Linked DNA regions of Canis lupus familiaris. The protein of the gene in region 1 interacts with the protein of each later gene in a pairwise test. Links are inferred from orthologs where the notes say so. Each region holds a gene or a part of one and is shown in the gene's direction. Other genes may lie near its edges.

Region 1 (3,558 bases):
CGGTTCAGATTGGTCACATTGCCAGTGAGCTACACATGACTAGTGGCTACCATAGTAGAAAGTTGAGGTTTCTAGCTTTATAGGTTGGTGCTTAACAGTTTTTACCTCTAGAACTTGTTCTTGATCAAGATCTTCTTGATCTTGTGCAGGTTGTTGGAATTATTCAGGATCTTACATTTGCTAATGTGTCACATTTATTACCAGTTTTACAGTTGTTTTGCCCATGAGTTACTCTAGGAAATGGTAAGACATTCATTTTGGGGGAGTGTAATGTTTATTGAATACATGTGCATGAAACTACATTAGGTGTGTATACTCAGGTTAAATGACATTTAGAGCAGAACTCATTGGTTTGTTGGAGATATAGTAGATTCTTTGACTTTGCAAAACATCTTCCTATTTGTAAATAACTTTCTGCTTATTGTGTGTGTGTACAGGAGCCATTACCATGTGACTAGTTATTTCAATCATTCTCTTTCCTGTAGAGAGATATATATAAATATATATATATATATATATATAAATAAATATATTGATGTTTGCTTTTTCTGTACTTGTAGTAAGCTGTTAAGTTCTTAAAATTCAGGGGCTCCTGGGTGGCACAGTAAGTTAAGCATCTGACTCTTGTTTTCAGCTCCAGTCATGATCTCAGGGTTGTGAGGTCAAGCTCCACCTAAGGCTCAGAGTCTACTTGGGATTCTTTCTCCTTCTCTCTTTGCCCCTCCCACTCGTGCTTGTGCCTGTTCTCTCTCTCTCTCTCTCTCTCTCTCTCTCTCTCTCAAATAAATTTTTAAAAAAGTATTTAAAATTTATGTAGTACTTTGATAAAGCCTAGGAGGAAGGTTAATTACCAGTCTCTCCTAAAAAATTATAGTTAACGTGTACTTGAAAAAATACAGCTTATATTTTAAAATCAAATAAATTCATTCCTTCCAAACTAATGATTTGGAGGCCATTCCAAAATAAAGCCACTGTTTGGCTTTATAAGAGAGTAGGAAATCATAAAATGACTTGAACTTTGGAAAAGTGTAAGCTTTTATATCTGAGGACACTGAAATTTTCATTTGTCTGAGTTTGTAATATTAAGAATAAATTCTAGAAGGGAGTCAAGACTTCTTAGAAAAATGACTGGTTTCAGTTTTGAGATTAGAAATGTACAAAGAAATCTTGGTTAGTGAATTTTGTCCTACCAGAAAGTGAGGAGGCTGATGAAAATGCAGGATTACATCACAGGAACTCAGAAGCTAGCTGAGTAAGTTCCCACTGCCCAAGGATAGAATATGAACATTAAAAACGTAGCAGCCATAGTGCTTCGAACCTGCAATATGTAGAATTACTGTTAATTTCTGTGTGTGATAAAGATTGTGCTTTTAAAAAACAAGATTCCAAAAAAAATAAATACAAATAAAAAACAAGATTCCTAAAGATATGCCCTAAAATATGTATGAAATTACATAATGTCTAGGATTTCGTTAAAAATAATCCAGACTGGGGCTCCTGGGTAGCTCAGTCGGTTAAGTGTGCAATTCTTGATCTCAACTCAGGTCCTGATCTCAGGGTCATGAGTTCAAGTTCTATGTTGGGAAAAAAATCCAGAGCAACTAGGTGGGATAGGGACAGGGGAAGGGATATTGGATTGAGGACATGTATAAAACAAGATTGGACATGTGTTAATGCTTCTTTGCAGCTGGGTGATGGATATATTGGGTTCATTATATTGCTCTACTTTTTTTTTTTTTTTAAGATTTTTTTATTTATTCATGAGAGAGACAGAGAGGCAGAGACACAGGCAGAGGGAGAAGCAGGCTCCATGCAGGGAGCCTGACATGGGACATGATCCCGGGTCTCCAGGATCAGGCCCTGGGCTAAAGGTGACACTAAACCGCTGAGCCACCAGGCTACCCATATTGCTCTACTTTTGTTAGAAAATTTGCTGGGACGCCTGGGTGGCTCAGCGTTTGAGCATCTGCTTTTGTCTCAGGGCATGATCCCGGGATTCAGGATCGAGTCCCACATCGGGCTCCCTGCGAGGAGCCTGCTTCTCCCTCTATCTGTGTCTCTGCCTCCCTCTCTCTCTCGGTGTCTCTCATGAATAAATAAATAAACTTAAAAAAAAATTTTGCTAACAATGAAAAGTTTCTTAAATCTATTTTATTTTTTATTTTTATTTTTTTTAAAGATTTATTTATTTATGATAGACATAGAGAGAGAGAGAGGCAGAGACACAGGAGGAGGGAGAAGCAGGCTCCATGCCGGGAACCCGACATGGGACTCGATCCCGGGACTCCAGGATTGCGCCCTGGGCCAAAGGCAGGCGCTAAACCGCTGAGCCGCCCAGGGATCCCCTTAAATCTATTTTAGAGATCTTCTTGGGTCTTGTACTACAGTTTCCTTAGAAATTGAGATCAGTGTTAATTGTTATCACTGTGGGGACATACTTCTTTGCATCAGATCACTTTGTAAAGGCTATTTCTCCATATTCTATCCAATAGCTTGGCACCAACATCTATTCATTTTCCTTTTCTTTTTTCTCTTCTCTTCTCAGCTCTCTTTTTCCAGATGTAGTGAACTGTATGCAAACCGACAACCTGGAATTAAAGAAGCTTGTTTATCTCTATTTGATGAACTATGCCAAGAGTCAGCCAGACATGGCCATCATGGCTGTCAACAGCTTTGTGAAGGTAACATTTCCACCCCTAGGAACTCAAGACCAGTCTCGTCTACCTCAAGTAGGCTTTTCAGGAAGTATTGTTTGATGTAGGTAATGTCTGCATTGCAAATAAGCAACCTCTGTTGCAAAAGAGAGCCTCTAGAGAAGTACTGGCAGTGACTATGAGTGTTCAGGTTTTTAAGCATTCTTTATGCCAGCATTCGTCATCCAGTTCAAACCATATGGAGAGCCTTCTGTTAGCTGGTTTTGGTGCATCCTTGCCAGATGGGAGAAGAAAGCCAGAAGAAACCTTCCCAGGCTGACAAAGGTTAGGCGTATCATTGAAGTTTCAGTAACCTGGGTTTTATCTATTTATCATGGGGAAAATTAAGCTTATGGGTCAGAAGTAGTAGAAACTCAAGGAGTAACTACTTCTGTTTTTACTTAATAGGTCTTAACACTCATTTTTTTTTTATTCTGGAAACTTCCAAACATATTCAAGTAGAGGGAATAGTATTCTAAATCCCTAAATCCCCATCTTGTAGTTTCAGTGGTTACCAGCACGTGACAAGTCTTTTTTTTTTTTTTTCCTTAGGATTTTATTTATTTATTTGAGAGAGAGTGCACAAGCCGTGGGAGGAACAGAGGGAGAGAGGGAAGGAGATTCTCAACTGAGCAGGAAGCAGGACCCTGGGATCATGACCTAAGCTGAAGGCAGATGCTTAAGCACCCAGGCACCCCAACCCATGACCAATCTTATTTATTCTCCCTATACATGCTTTCCTGACTCCCACTCCTCCTAATGGATAATTTTAAAGCAGATTCCAAACATAAAGATGAAAAATCATTTCATCCTTGTAAGATCTCCTTTTAAGATTTATTCATTTGAGAGAGCAAGAAAGTGAATG
Region 2 (4,252 bases), on another chromosome or scaffold:
AGAGACAGGAAGAGAGACAGGGAGGCCTAAAGCCAGTCGGGCGGAGCCCTGAGGGCGCCTCCCGGAGCTGGAGTCCCGCTGCGGCCAAGCCAGCGAGCGACACACCTTCCACTCCGAGCGACACACCTTCCACTCGGATCGCTCGCTCGGTTACAATCCAGTAAGAGGTTCAAGGTCAATGGAACGTTCCGCAGGACACCGTGTCCGGGCTTGAGCTTCCCTCCTGGGGGTGCCCGGGGTGTGTGTGCATGTGTGTGTGCAGGTGCACGTGTGTGTGCAGGTGCCTTCTGCGTGTGCACAGGTGCCGTCTGCGTGTGCAGGTGCACGCGTATGTGCAGGTGCCTTCTGCGTGTGCACAGGTGCCGTCTGCGTGTGCAGCTGGACACACAGGTGCATGTGCGTGTGCAGGTGCCTTCTGAGTGTGCGCAGGTGCCCTGTGTGTGTGCAGGTGCACGAATGCACAAGTGCGTGTGCGTGTGCAGGTGCCCTCTGTGTGCAGGTGCACGCGTGTGTGCAGGTGCCGTCTGCGTGTGCACAGGTGCCGTCTGCGTGTGCGTGTGCAGGTGCCTTCTGCGTGCGCAGGTGCCCCGTGTGTGTGCAGGTGCACGAATGCACAGGTGCATGCGTGGCCGGCTCAGCATGGCCCCGTGCAGCGAGCGCCGCCGCGAGTCACCCATCCATGCGGGCTGCAGCACCCCCACATGAGGGCGCGGGGGTCTTGGGGGGGCCCAGGCTTGGGCTCGCTGGGGTTGGTCTGGGGCGTCCGCATGGGCCAGTGGGCGGGGCGCTGGAGTGAGGACGGGTCGGGCGGCCAGTCGTGGGGACTGTGGGCTTTTGGAGGGGGGAAGTGCAGGTGGCAGGCGACCTGACCTTGCGGTCTTCGAGCTGACCTTGGGGTCTTCCAGAGGAGCCCGGGGCCGCGACGTGACCTCGGGGTCAGCACACGGGGCCAAGGGGTCGCGGTCGGGGGACGGGTCGCGCAGGGTCAGGGTCGCGGTGCTGGGCGCGCCCGGGGGGCCAGCGGCTGGAAGGAGCCCGAGCTCGCGGACCCGCCGCCGCCGCCGCCCCCTCCCCCCGCCGGGAGCGCCCAGGGCCCGCGGCGACCTTCACAAGGTCACGGCGGCGGCCGAGCCCTCGGGCCGCACGGCGCATGGGCGGGGTCCCGCTCCCGGCATGCCTCGGGGCCCGGCGCGCGGGAAGGGGCGGGGCAACGGCAGCAGCGCAGCCAATGGGCGCGGCGCGGGCGGGCACGGGGCGGGGCGCGCTGCGGCTCCCGGCAGCCCGCGGGGGCGCGGCGCGCGGGAAGGGGCGGGGCGTCGGCGGGCGGCGCGGCCAATGGGCGCGGCGGGCGGGGGCGCGGGGCGGGGCTTCGGGCCCTTAGCGGCTGCGCGCTGGGCGCCCCGTCCTTTCGGTCCCGGCGGCGGCAGCGCGGAGCCAGCGGCGCCCTCCCTCCCTCCCTCCCTCCCTCGGTTCGCCCGTCCGTCCGGCTGTCCGCGCCCGCACTCCGCCGTCCGCCGCCCGCCCGCCCGCCGCCATGACGGAGCAGGCCATCTCGTTCGCCAAGGACTTCCTAGCCGGAGGCATCGCCGCCGCCATCTCCAAGACGGCCGTGGCCCCGATCGAGCGGGTCAAGCTGCTGCTGCAGGTGCGCACGGCGCGTGCGCGCTCGGGGACCCGGGACGGCGGTCCCGTCGGGGGGGGGGGGTCCGGGCGTGCTGCGAGGGCTCGCGGTGGGGGGTGACAGCGGGGCGGGCCGGCCGCGTGCACCGGGACCCGCGGCCGCCGGAAGTGCGAGGCCGCGCCGCTTTGTCCGCGCGCCGCCCGCTTCCGGGGCCGGGCCGGCCGCGCGTCACGTGGCGCTCTCCGCGCGTGCGCGCTGGGGCAGAGCTCTCGGGCGCCCGGAGCGCGGGCCTCGCCCCCGCGGTTCCCACCGTCGAGGCCGAGCGGACCGCGGGAGCCCCGCGAGCGCCCCCTGTGATGGAGGCCGGGACTTTGCTCCGCCCCGTTCCGGCCTGAGAGGCGGCGAGCCGCGGCGCTCCGCTGGGAAGTCGTTGCGCCCGCGGCCAGCTGGCGGCAACATTGTTGCAGCGCCTCCTTGGCAACATTGTTGCAGCGCGTCCTTGGCAACGTTGTTGCGGGTGGGGCAGTGGGAACATTGTCGGTTGACCCGTGCGGACCTGCGGGGACCAGTGTCCTGGGCTGTGCCCCGTCCTGTCGAGCCAGTGCACGCTCCCGTGCACGGATGAGCGGTGCGGACTTGCAGGGACCAGTGTCCTGGGTGTGCCCGGTCCTGTCGACCCAGTGCGCTCCTCCCGTGCACGGATGAGCGGTTCCGACTTGCAGGGACGCGCCTCCCGGGATGAGTGCCCTCCGGTGCTGGGTTGACCGGTGGTGTCCTGGGCTGTGCCCCATCCTGTCGACCCAGTGCGCTCCTCCCGTGCACGGTTGAGCGGTTCCACTTGCAGGCATAGGCCCCCCCGGGATATGAGCTCTCCCGTGGAGCTACCGTGCTCACATGCAGGAATTCCCCTCCAGGGACTCGCCTACCCTAGGGACGCTGGCTGGTACTGCGTGCGGGCCCTCTAACGAGCCTGTCCGCCCGTCTATCTCGCAGGTGCAGCACGCCAGCAAGCAGATCGCCGCCGACAAGCAGTATAAGGGCATCGTGGACTGCATCGTGCGCATCCCCAAGGAGCAGGGCGTGCTGTCCTTCTGGAGGGGCAACCTGGCCAACGTGATCCGCTACTTCCCCACGCAGGCCCTCAACTTTGCGTTCAAGGATAAGTATAAGCAGATCTTCCTGGGGGGCGTGGACAAGCACACGCAGTTCTGGAGGTACTTTGCCGGCAACCTGGCATCAGGCGGGGCCGCGGGCGCCACCTCCCTCTGCTTCGTGTACCCGCTGGATTTCGCCAGAACCCGTCTGGCGGCTGACGTCGGCAAGTCGGGCACCGAGCGGGAGTTCAAGGGCCTTGGAGACTGCCTGGTGAAGATCACCAAGTCCGACGGCATCCGGGGCCTCTACCAGGGCTTCAACGTGTCCGTGCAGGGCATCATCATCTACCGGGCGGCCTACTTCGGCGTCTACGACACGGCCAAGGGTACGTGTGTTCTTGCTGTGGGGCTGCACGTGCGGCGGGGGCTCCGGGATCCGCTGTTGGCAGAGCCGCACTCTGCAGGGTGGGAAGTCTGACATCCACACGTCCACGGGGTTGCTGGCGTTCGTGGCGTCTCCTCGGTGTGTAGATGGCAGTTTTGTCCGTGTGTCCTCACGTGGGCCTCTTCTGTGCGTCTGAGTTTAGATTTTTTACAGGGTGTTGATGGTGTTGGATTAGGGTCTCCTCTGAAGACGCTTTACACTGTTTTTTAAAGGCAGTTATTTTTAGGTATCCGGGGTTTTCAGCGTGAACATTAGGGTGTGCCGTTCACACCCTGAAAGCTAGTGTCTGTGCAGCAGAACCGCCTCTTGTGTGGTACATGCACTTACCAGGCTCGCCTGTCCCTCTCTGTAGAGAGAGCCCGTTCGTTCCCAGGCACTAAGCGTGGGCCTCAGGGACCGCTCTATGCCCTGCGGGTGGTTCCATGCCGTTCCCTGGTCGCGGGGGCTCCACGTGGCACCAGGGCAGGCAGTACTGCTCTTGCCCCGCTGTGTGTGTGGCACTGGAACCTAACGCTGGCTGGTGACCCCGCAGGCATGCTCCCAGACCCCAAGAACACGCACATTGTGGTGAGCTGGATGATCGCCCAGACTGTGACGGCCGTGGCCGGCGTGGTCTCCTACCCCTTCGACACCGTGCGGCGGCGGATGATGATGCAGTCCGGGCGCAAAGGAGGTACGTTGTCTCGGTCCTGGTGACCGGGACTTGTCCTCGGAGATGAGAGATACAAGAGCTCCTGGAATGACGGGCCCTTTGGTGGCCTCAGGCCATGGGAAGCGGGGCTAACAGATGAGGTTCTTCACAGGGTTTGAGACCGTAACTGTTGATCCAGGGGCGCTAGAACCCTGCAGCCCTGCCGGGTACCTGCCCGGGCCCTTGGTGCTGCCCGTGCTTTGGTCTTCTCTACGCTGGCCCGGGACCTTGCACTGATCCCAGGAGTGGACACGGGGCTGCAATTTGGGTGTTTTGGTTATAGCCACAGCAGTGGGCTGAGCAGCGGCCAAGACCTGGAGCTGTTGGTGTGCAGAGCCTCATTTTTCCCTGGGATGAGAAATCCAGGTCGCCTGGAGGGTGGCATCCGGTTTCAGTGTGTG
Region 3 (4,205 bases), on another chromosome or scaffold:
CCTTTCCTAATTGATATAGTCTTTACTTGCTTCGAAACTTCCCACTATTTGTACAATCTCCATAATTCTTAATTTCGTGTATTCCTTTTCTTTTCAATGATTGATGTACAACAGTGGGATGTCTTTTCTCTCACGAGAGGTGAAGTGTCCAAATTACAAAATACTGCAGGCGAAAGTCTGCAAAAAAATCAATGTGATGCAGCATTTATTCTGAGATATCAACAATAAATTCTTTTTGAAAATCATTATTACTTTATTATTAATAAATTATCGTTACATTATTTTGCAATAATGATGATTATTATTATTTCTTGCAATAATGATTATTAATACGACTCATTTGAGAGAGCAGGAGATAAACACCTTCCCCTGCTGGTTTCTAGCTCGTTACCGCCCTTGTCCTTAGGAGGACGGTGCAGAGAGATCAACACTTGGGCATGGATCGCAGATGCCAGTGTCGACATCTTCCATCATCTCGAGAAAATTTTCAGTACCGTACAGTCAAAAAATCAATTTCAAATACACCTGTGCGTGTCTTAAAAACAAAAAAAATGCATTTATAAACAAGAATAGGAAAAATGCTAGGCCAGTACTGCCCGGAAGAGGAGCCGGCGTCAGGGAGACGCTTGGAGGCCTTCAGCGGGGTCGGGGCGTCCTTCCACCTCGGAGCGGAACGTCAAGTCTTTTTTTTAAATTTTTATTTATTAATTTTTATTTATTTATGATAGTCACACACAGAGAGAGACAGAGAGAGAGGCAGAGACACAGGCAGAGGGAGAAGCAGGCTCCACGCAGGGAGCCCGACTGGGACTGGATCCCGGGTCTCCAGGGTCGCGCCCAACCGCTGCCCCGCAGGGATCCCACGTCAAGTCGTCACTGAGATGCACGCCCGGCCTGCAAGACGCAAAAAGCCAAGACAGTCCAAGCAGAGGGGCCACCCGACTCACCGCAGTCCGGGGCTGGAGTCCGCTCCTCGGCACCCGCTGCCCCGAGGCCGCCGCTGGCGGAGGAGGGCGCGCACGGTGGGGCCTGTCCCTGCCCACGTGCCGACTCCCAGACGACTCGGGGCGGTAGAACACGGGAAAGAGGCCGCTTCGGGGTCCTCGTGAGCTCCGGCGTGACAGTGGGCTCCGCGCTGCGGAGACGGGGATCGCGGCCTCCCGCCCGGTCCCCGCCACACGCCCGTCAGCAGCGGAGCCCGCCTCCGCCCGGGCCCTCCCTGAGGCGCTGAGCCCGGGGCCCGCGGCACCGCCGCGACGTCACGCCCTGCGCCGCGGGACGCGCTCAGGCCCCGGAAGCGGGCGGACCCGGCGCGCTCCCGCCAGGCCCCGCCCCTGCGCTTCCGGCGTTCGGGCTTCCGAGGCGCGGCCAGAAAAGGGCCGGAACTCGGTGAGCCGGAGGCGGCTCTCGGCGGGACTGAAGAGCGGCGCGCACCGAGGGTCGTGGGGGCGGCGCCTGCGTCCCCTGCTCGCGCGACATGGCCTTCAACTTCGGGGCTCCCTCGGGCACCTCTGGCACCGCCGCGGCCCCCGCGGCCCCCGCGGGTGAGTGGTCCTCCCGGGAAGGAGGGGCGGCCCCCGGTGCAGCCCCCCGGCCCGAGCCTGTGCGGCCCGGAGACCCTGGGGGTGTCCTGGCTGCTTGGGGACTCCGGGGGCTCCGGGCCAGGGGCCGCGGCTGAGCGGGCCCGGGCGGCTCCTGAGGAGGCCGCGGGGGTTCCGAGGCCCAGCCCGTGGCTCCCCGCACAGCGTCGCCCTCCCGGGGTCCGCTTCCCGCCGCCGGGGGCCCTCCGGAGGCCAGACGGCGGCTCCGCGCTCCCGCTGCCGGACGGCGGCCCGGCTCTCCCCGCCCGAGCCCCCGGGGCCCCGAGGTCCGGTTGGGGCTGGCGGGTCGGGGCTGCGCGGCGGCCGCTCGGGGCGGGCCCTTGGGTCGGGGCTGCGGGACCTCGCGCTCGGGCTCCTCCCTCCCGTCCCCGCCTCCACCTCCGCTTTCTTAACCCGCTGGAGCTAAGTCGAGGTTTGTCCTCGTTCGCTTCTGTGAGACCTGCTGACTCTTCTAACCCTTGTCTTGCTTTCTTTTCCTTTTCTTTTCTTTTCTCTTTTCTTTTTCTCCCCCCTCCCCCGTTTTAAAATTTTGTTTCTGTGCCTACACGCCGATCAGGATTTGGTGGGCTTGAGACTGCCAACTCCACCGCCAGTGGGTTTAATTTTGGGGGTTTCGGATTAACTGCTAATCCTGCAGTGAACTTTAATATTGGGAATTTCGGTGTTTCTACTACCTCGGCGACTCCGTTCAATTTTGGTAACAGTCTGGCAAGTGCAGGTAGATACTGCGGGTCGTACGTGTGACGATGTTGGGAGCCGGAGTCCAAGAATATTTCGCAGCTCCGAGTTTTCGGAAGAGCAGCGACATGCCTAAAGGGGAAAGGACGTTCATTCATTCCCTAGAGTCGAATCAAAAACGTTTGCATCTAGCTCCGACTGTCTTAAAAGATTTGGTTTTTAGAAGCCTTGCAAGTTGTGATGTTCCTTTGTTGAACTTGCATTCGATCCGACAGAATATACCTTCCAAGTGGTAAGAATCTGGAACGGATTATTTGAAGTAGAATATGTTTTCCAAATTGTTTATCTTATCTCTTACAAAACAGAAACTCACCAGTCAGGCTCTTTTCTCTGGGATTCTTGGACTCCTGCAGTCATTTTTTTTTTTTTTTCCCCCATCTTTCCTGCATCTTTCATTGCAATTTCATTCGACTGTCTTTGTGTTTCCCAAGAGAAACAAGTCTTATACGAACAGCAACATCCTGTATTTTTAAAATGTGTTTAGCAACAACAATGTATTCCTTTGGTCCACTCGGCAGATTAGGATGCATTTCTGTAAGATATGTAATTTTAAAGAGTCTTGGTTTTTTACAGGATTTTTTTGAGAAATAAGTAGAGCAGTTTAATTTGTCAGATAGCATGGAGGCTAGTAGGTAGGCTAGACATATTTGTATTAAATAATGATGAAGATTTTAGTACCTATATGGATTGAAGCTCATTGGAAATTTGCAAAGCACAGACTATAATGTGTTTATATGTATATATAAATTTAAAATAGGTCTGTGTATTTTACATAGTTATCCTATAGAAAAGTCTTGTTCCTCTGCTGCTCGTATATGAATATATTGTCCATATTCTCTTGCATTATGCCACTTATACCCATGCCAATTATATGCATTTTGTAAACATTATTTATTCCCTAAAATTTATTTGGAAAGTCTGGTATTTGTGCAGTATTTGTTAGAGCAGTACGAATATCACCTCGGCATCTGATTTGAAATGTTTTGAAGAATACGTTTGAATTCCAAAGATAAAACAGTCCTTGTCGTTAAGGTATATTTAAAGTGATCGTGTATCACTGTCATTTACTGTCATGCACATTTATTTTTCCGTTTGCTTAAAATTGGCACTGGGTAAAACAGCTGTATTTTGAAATTTGTGTTTCTGAATAAAGCCACCCAGCTTGTAATTCAACAACAATAAATAAACTTATTGGTATTTGCTTGATTTCATGTTCATTTGGAGTTATCACTGTTAAGTGTTGAGTTGTGATAATATAACTGTATTTTAACCACTTCTATGTATGTTCAGTAACTGAACCTTCAGCAAAGGGATGATAGAAATTCTTATTTTTTTTATTTTTTTTAAAGTCTTGTTTATTTTGTATCTTAACAGATTCACTACTACATTTTTGGTATTAGGAACCATGATAAGCTACTAATATTGTGTAGCCAAATCAGAATATATCATAGTTATTCTATGTAAGGGAAGATAATGAAAAAGATTGAGAGCAGTGTTTTATACTTTTAGTTGATTTTTTTTTTTTTTTTTAGTCCAAATGTTTACAGTTTGCAGTACTGCAATAGAACCTACAAGAAAATAGCCTATTTGGTTATGTCTACAGTATGCAGTCTATTCTTGAGTAATTTTCCAAATCAAAATTATATGGTGAATATCAAAAGGTTGAGGTTTTTTCTTTCTTATATCCTTTATGTAACATGAATCTATCTCTTAAACTAGAAATATAGGAAATTAGAAGTTAGAATTGTGAAAAACTGTGGCATAATGCAGCACTAATGGTTCAGACTTTTTTTTTTTTTTTTTAAGATTTATTTATTTATTCATGATAGACAGACAGGGGCAGAGACACAAGCAGAGGGAGAAGCA
Region 4 (4,319 bases), on another chromosome or scaffold:
CCAATATGGTAATGAAATACGAGTGCAAAAAAGAAACACTGTTCTTGTTTGAAAACGGAATGGAACGCTTTGGAGAGAGGCTCGACAAAGGAGAGTCCCGATCGAGCCCGGCGGGGACAGAAATGCCTGTGGGAGGCGAGGGGGAAACCGTAGAGACGTGCCCATCTTCTGCAAATCGCGCGGCTCCCGCAGGGACCGCGAAAGCCTCCGTCTGTTTTAAAGAATCCCGACGTGGGAATTCTAGGGGAGGCTTTCCGGGTGCGGTCGACGCGGGAGGAGATGGGGGAACGCCGATCTGCGGGCACCGAGATTCAAAGGGAAGGTCTTGGACCGACATCAAAAAGACTGGCTGCTCGGAAAGTTTTCTTTCCAGCGACAAAGGCTGGAAAAAAGCGCCGTGGTCGCCACCTACCGAGGGGGAGGGGAGAAGGGGTGGGGGCGGGGGTGGGGGTGGGGAGGAGGGCGGCCGGCGGGGCCCCCCCATCGCCGCCGGGGGGAAGAATCGTGAAACCCTTCGGTCCAGTGCTCCGCAGAACCGCCCTCGACCTCGGGGCTCGAGTTCTGTAAACTTTTGAGCGTCGCTTAGGTGAAGAGCAGTGTCTCAGCGTTTTCGACATTCGAGAGCTCAAGTTGGAAAGCGAAAAAGCACAATCGGGAGGCGGGAGGCGGGGTGCGGGGTGCGGGGTGCGGGGTGCGGGGGAGAGGTTTCGGTCCAGTTTCTCCGCGGTCGACAGAACAAAACCCAGCGGGCTACAGGGCAGGTTTTCTGCTCCCTCCGCGGCTTTCTCTCAACTTTGCCTCTAAACGTGGAGCGAGGGAGCGAGGGGAAAGTCTGGGCTGTGTGGGTGGGGTGGGGGTGGGGGTGGTAAATAAAAACAGGAGCCCCCCGCCCCCTGCCCCGGCGCAGGTTGGGGCTCCGGTCTCCTCCGGCCGCCTCGGAGGCAAGCTTGCAAAACTAACAGAGGAGCTCTTTGTGTCCGGGAGGGTGGTGCAGGGCGGAGGAAGTCCCTCGGCGGAGCACAGGGACCGGCGGGCCGGCCTGGGGCTCCCGGGCCTCTGCCATGTTCCGGCCTCGCCATCGGCAGGGAATGTCGGACGCACGAGTGAGTGCGAGCCCCGGACGGTGGCTCGGGCCCGCGGCACCGCGGCGCTGAGCAGGCGGGGGCCGCCCCCGGCCTAGGCCGGCGCCCCGCGCCCCGGCTCCCCTCCCCCACCCGGGCGGCCGCGCAGGCCCCAGGTGCAGCCATGTTCTTGCTCCCACCACCCGCGCCTCCATTGACAGTCCTTGCCGGAGAGGGCCGGGCGCCGCGCTCGCCGCGTCCTCGGGCTCGGGGCTCGCCGGCGCGGGGCTTCCTGGGAGTCGTAGTCCGCCGCCCCCGCCGTCGCGTTGGTGGGGACGAACCACAAAACTACAACTCCCGCTGGGCGGCGCTGCGGGTGCGCACGCGCAGCGCGCCTTCGAGGAACAAAAAAAAAAAAAAAAAAGAGGAGGAGGAGGAGGGTGAGAGAGAAGCTCGGAGAGCAGAGAAAAGGGGCCACCGATCGCCCCCCCGCTTCCCCGCACGCGCTCTCTAGCTGAGGCCGCCCGCCTGCCGCGGTGATCCCGGCCTCTCCCTCGGTCCCCCGTGATCGGATCTAGGCGCTGACCCAGGCCCTGCCGGGGCGGCCATGCGGCGGTGACAGGAGCTCGGCCAAGACGCCCGGGCCCCTCGCCCTCTCACCTCCTGCCCGCTCGCCCGCTCGCCCCAGCCCGGAGCTGCTCCGCCGCGGCCGCAGCTCTTGCTCGGCCCACACGCGCTTCCTTTCGGCTCCCCCAGCCCCGGCGCTGCCTGGAGGCGGCTGCACTCGGGTGAGTCCCCGTCGCCTCCCCCGCGCCCCCCGCCCCGGTTGCCATCGCGAGCGGGGCCCTTCTTTGAGACGCGCCCCCCCGGGGCCCGCGCGGACTGGGGCCGGGGTACCCGGGCCGCCGTGTTGGGGGTGGGGCGGGAGGAGACGCGGTCGCGGGGGACGACAGTTGCACGCGCGCGCCTGGGAGCGCGGGGGGAGGGGCGCGCGCGCCGGCGCTGCGTGGGGGGGCTCACGCGTGAGTCCCGCGCGCGAGCGAGCCTGCGGGCTGCGCATGCCCGGCCGCTGATTGGCCGGCTCGGGCGGTGCGGGTGCGCGCGCGGTGCCAGGCCCGAGCCGTGGGGTCGCGCTCGGCCTGGTGTCTCCGGGGCTCGTGCGCCCGGGCAGCAGACGCGCGCGATTGGCCGGCGGGCGGCGGGGGCGGCGCCGCCGCGCTGCCTGGTAACTGCGGCCCGGGGCCGGCGGGCCCCGGAGCGCCGCCCGCCCCGCCCCGCCCCGCCCCGCCCCGCCCCCGCCCCTCCCCGCCCCTGCCCGCGCCCAGGTGGAGCCCGGAGTGGGCTTTGTCCCGGCCCGGCCGGCGCGCCGGCCCCGCGGGGCCTGTTCTTTGGGGGAAATAAACACAATGACCGGAAGGAAAACCTCGGCCTTCGGGCCACGGAAAGCCGTCTGGATCCCGCAGGCGCCCGGACGGGGTTTCGCGGAGGGACGAAGGGGAAAAACTGTCCTTTCCCCCCTCCCTGTGCTGCCTCCACTTTCTCCAAGTTTTGCCTTTGAATAAAGGAAGTTCTTTTTTCCCTTCTTCTTCTTCTTCTTCCCCTGTCCAATGTGGCGTTGCGGTAGCCGGCGGCCGAGAGCGTTCCGGCGTCGAGTTGGGTTGGAGCAGGCCCACTCCTGCGGCTGCGGGGCTCCGGGCACGCTTCCCCCTTCTCTGCGGCTTGAGGGGCCGGAGGGCAGCAGAGCCGTCTCTGGGGCGTTCCGGAAGCAGAAGGGGAAGTTAGTTTGCAAATGAGGGTGCCCCGGAGTGCGGGGAGGAGGCTGAGCCCGCGCCCGCGCCCGCGCCCCAGGCCCGCGGCCGGGGAGGACAGACACCTCCTCCCTCCTGCCCCGTCGCTGTCTCTGTCTCGTCAGTCGTTCAGCCGCAGAGCCGGGCTGCCGGGCGCGGTGCTCTTGCCTCCTCCTTGGGACCTTGACTTTTTCTTATGTTCGGGCTTTGGAACTCTGGTCTTGCTCCCGTGCCGTCGCTGAAGGCCGTCTCTTGCATTGTTTGGTGGGAATTGGTCGTTTCTTTTTTCTTTCTCTTAAAGATTTTATTTACCCACGAGACGCGGAGAGAGGCAGAGGGAGAAGCAGGCCTCCTTGGGGGAGCGGGTGCTGGACTCCATCCCGGGACTTGACCCCGGGGCTCCGGAACCGGGTCCTGAGCGCGGGGCGGACGAGCCCAGCGGCCCCGCGGCGTCCGAATCAGCTGGTGCGGCCCTTCCAGGAGCGGGTCTGGGTTTCCCTGAGGGGAGTGTTGTGCGTCGGTGCACTCTTGTCCGCCCCGTCCGTGGGCAGGAGGGGCAGGGGTTAAGCTTTTTCCGCCTTTGTCTCCCCTCCCGGCGGACAGACCCGCGAAGGGCCTTGCACCGAGCCTAACATTTGGATGTTTCCTAAGCGCCGGGCATCCCTCTTCAGCACTAACGTGTTTTCTTATTCAGTCTTGAAAACAACCCCGCAATTCCCTTGTGTAGACGAGGAACAAGTCTAGAGAAGCTGAGTAGTGTATTCTTGATTACTCAGCAAGTCAACCTTGACTGCAAGGTTGGAGCCTGGGCAGTCCGACTCTTAACCCCTCAGCCTGTGGCTCTCAGACTCCGGAGCGTCAGCAACCCCCGGAGGGCTTGTTCAGACACCGTCGCCCCGCCCCACCCCAGAACCCCAGACTTCGGATTCGGCAGGTCTGGGGTGGGGCCCCATTATTTGCATTTCTAACTAGTTGGAGCGGGCTGTTGTTCCGCCGCTCGGAGGATGGCTCTGCTCTCGGAGAGCCATTCAGCGCGGTGCAAAATTAAGCTGTGAGTGTAGGGAATTTATTCTAGATTTTCTTTAAAGCTTTTCGTTACTTTAAAACCTGAACTTAACCAAAAATAATTCGGACTGCTTATCGTAGATTGTGTGGAAAGCTGATTGAGAGTTAAAAATTTTTGTTAGCCATGATTACGAAATTAAAAGTTTAAGAAGTCTCAGGTTTTAAAAGAGCCACGGATTTAAGTACAGGATAAAATTAGAAACCTAATCTTGCCTTTTTTTTTTTTTTTTTTTCAGTCTCAATCATTTTTTAATTCATTTATGGCACTGGCATTATGGCAATCTCCTCCTAGAGATGACTGAGGCATCTCATCCCCACCAGTCTTGTCTGGGAACCCGGAGTGCTGATAGGGCCTCAGCTTGATGCTGAAATGAGGGAGCTGGTGGTCACTTGAAGGCCCAGATTC

What was found.
Region 2: the proteins of AP2B1 (region 1) and SLC25A6 interact in binary tests that used the Homo sapiens proteins (3 or more experiments, as listed by UniProt). The link is inferred for Canis lupus familiaris from reciprocal best matches to the Homo sapiens genes AP2B1 and SLC25A6.
Region 3: the proteins of AP2B1 (region 1) and NUP54 interact in binary tests that used the Homo sapiens proteins (3 or more experiments, as listed by UniProt). The two-hybrid records come from large-scale screens. The link is inferred for Canis lupus familiaris from reciprocal best matches to the Homo sapiens genes AP2B1 and NUP54.
Region 4: the proteins of AP2B1 (region 1) and GTF2I interact in binary tests that used the Homo sapiens proteins (3 or more experiments, as listed by UniProt). The link is inferred for Canis lupus familiaris from reciprocal best matches to the Homo sapiens genes AP2B1 and GTF2I.

Annotation. Positions count from the first base shown.
Region 1 is NC_049230.1:38,024,992-38,028,549, reverse strand, and holds part of AP2B1 (AP-2 complex subunit beta), read left to right. Parts: intron 1-2,545; coding exon 2,546-2,681; intron 2,682-3,558. UniProt on the Homo sapiens protein: Component of the adaptor protein complex 2 (AP-2). Adaptor protein complexes function in protein transport via transport vesicles in different membrane traffic pathways.
Region 2 is NC_049260.1:869,223-873,474, reverse strand, and holds the start of SLC25A6 (ADP/ATP translocase 3), read left to right. Parts: upstream 1-1,405; 5' UTR 1,406-1,534; coding exon 1,535-1,645; intron 1,646-2,614; coding exon 2,615-3,101; intron 3,102-3,692; coding exon 3,693-3,833; intron 3,834-4,252. UniProt on the Homo sapiens protein: ADP:ATP antiporter that mediates import of ADP into the mitochondrial matrix for ATP synthesis, and export of ATP out to fuel the cell.
Region 3 is NC_049253.1:39,406,861-39,411,065, forward strand, and holds the start of NUP54 (nucleoporin p54), read left to right. Parts: upstream 1-1,358; 5' UTR 1,359-1,477; coding exon 1,478-1,544; intron 1,545-2,157; coding exon 2,158-2,319; intron 2,320-4,205. UniProt on the Homo sapiens protein: Component of the nuclear pore complex, a complex required for the trafficking across the nuclear membrane.
Region 4 is NC_049227.1:5,756,008-5,760,326, reverse strand, and holds the start of GTF2I (general transcription factor II-I), read left to right. Parts: upstream 1-1,472; 5' UTR 1,473-1,849; intron 1,850-4,319. UniProt on the Homo sapiens protein: Interacts with the basal transcription machinery by coordinating the formation of a multiprotein complex at the C-FOS promoter, and linking specific signal responsive activator complexes.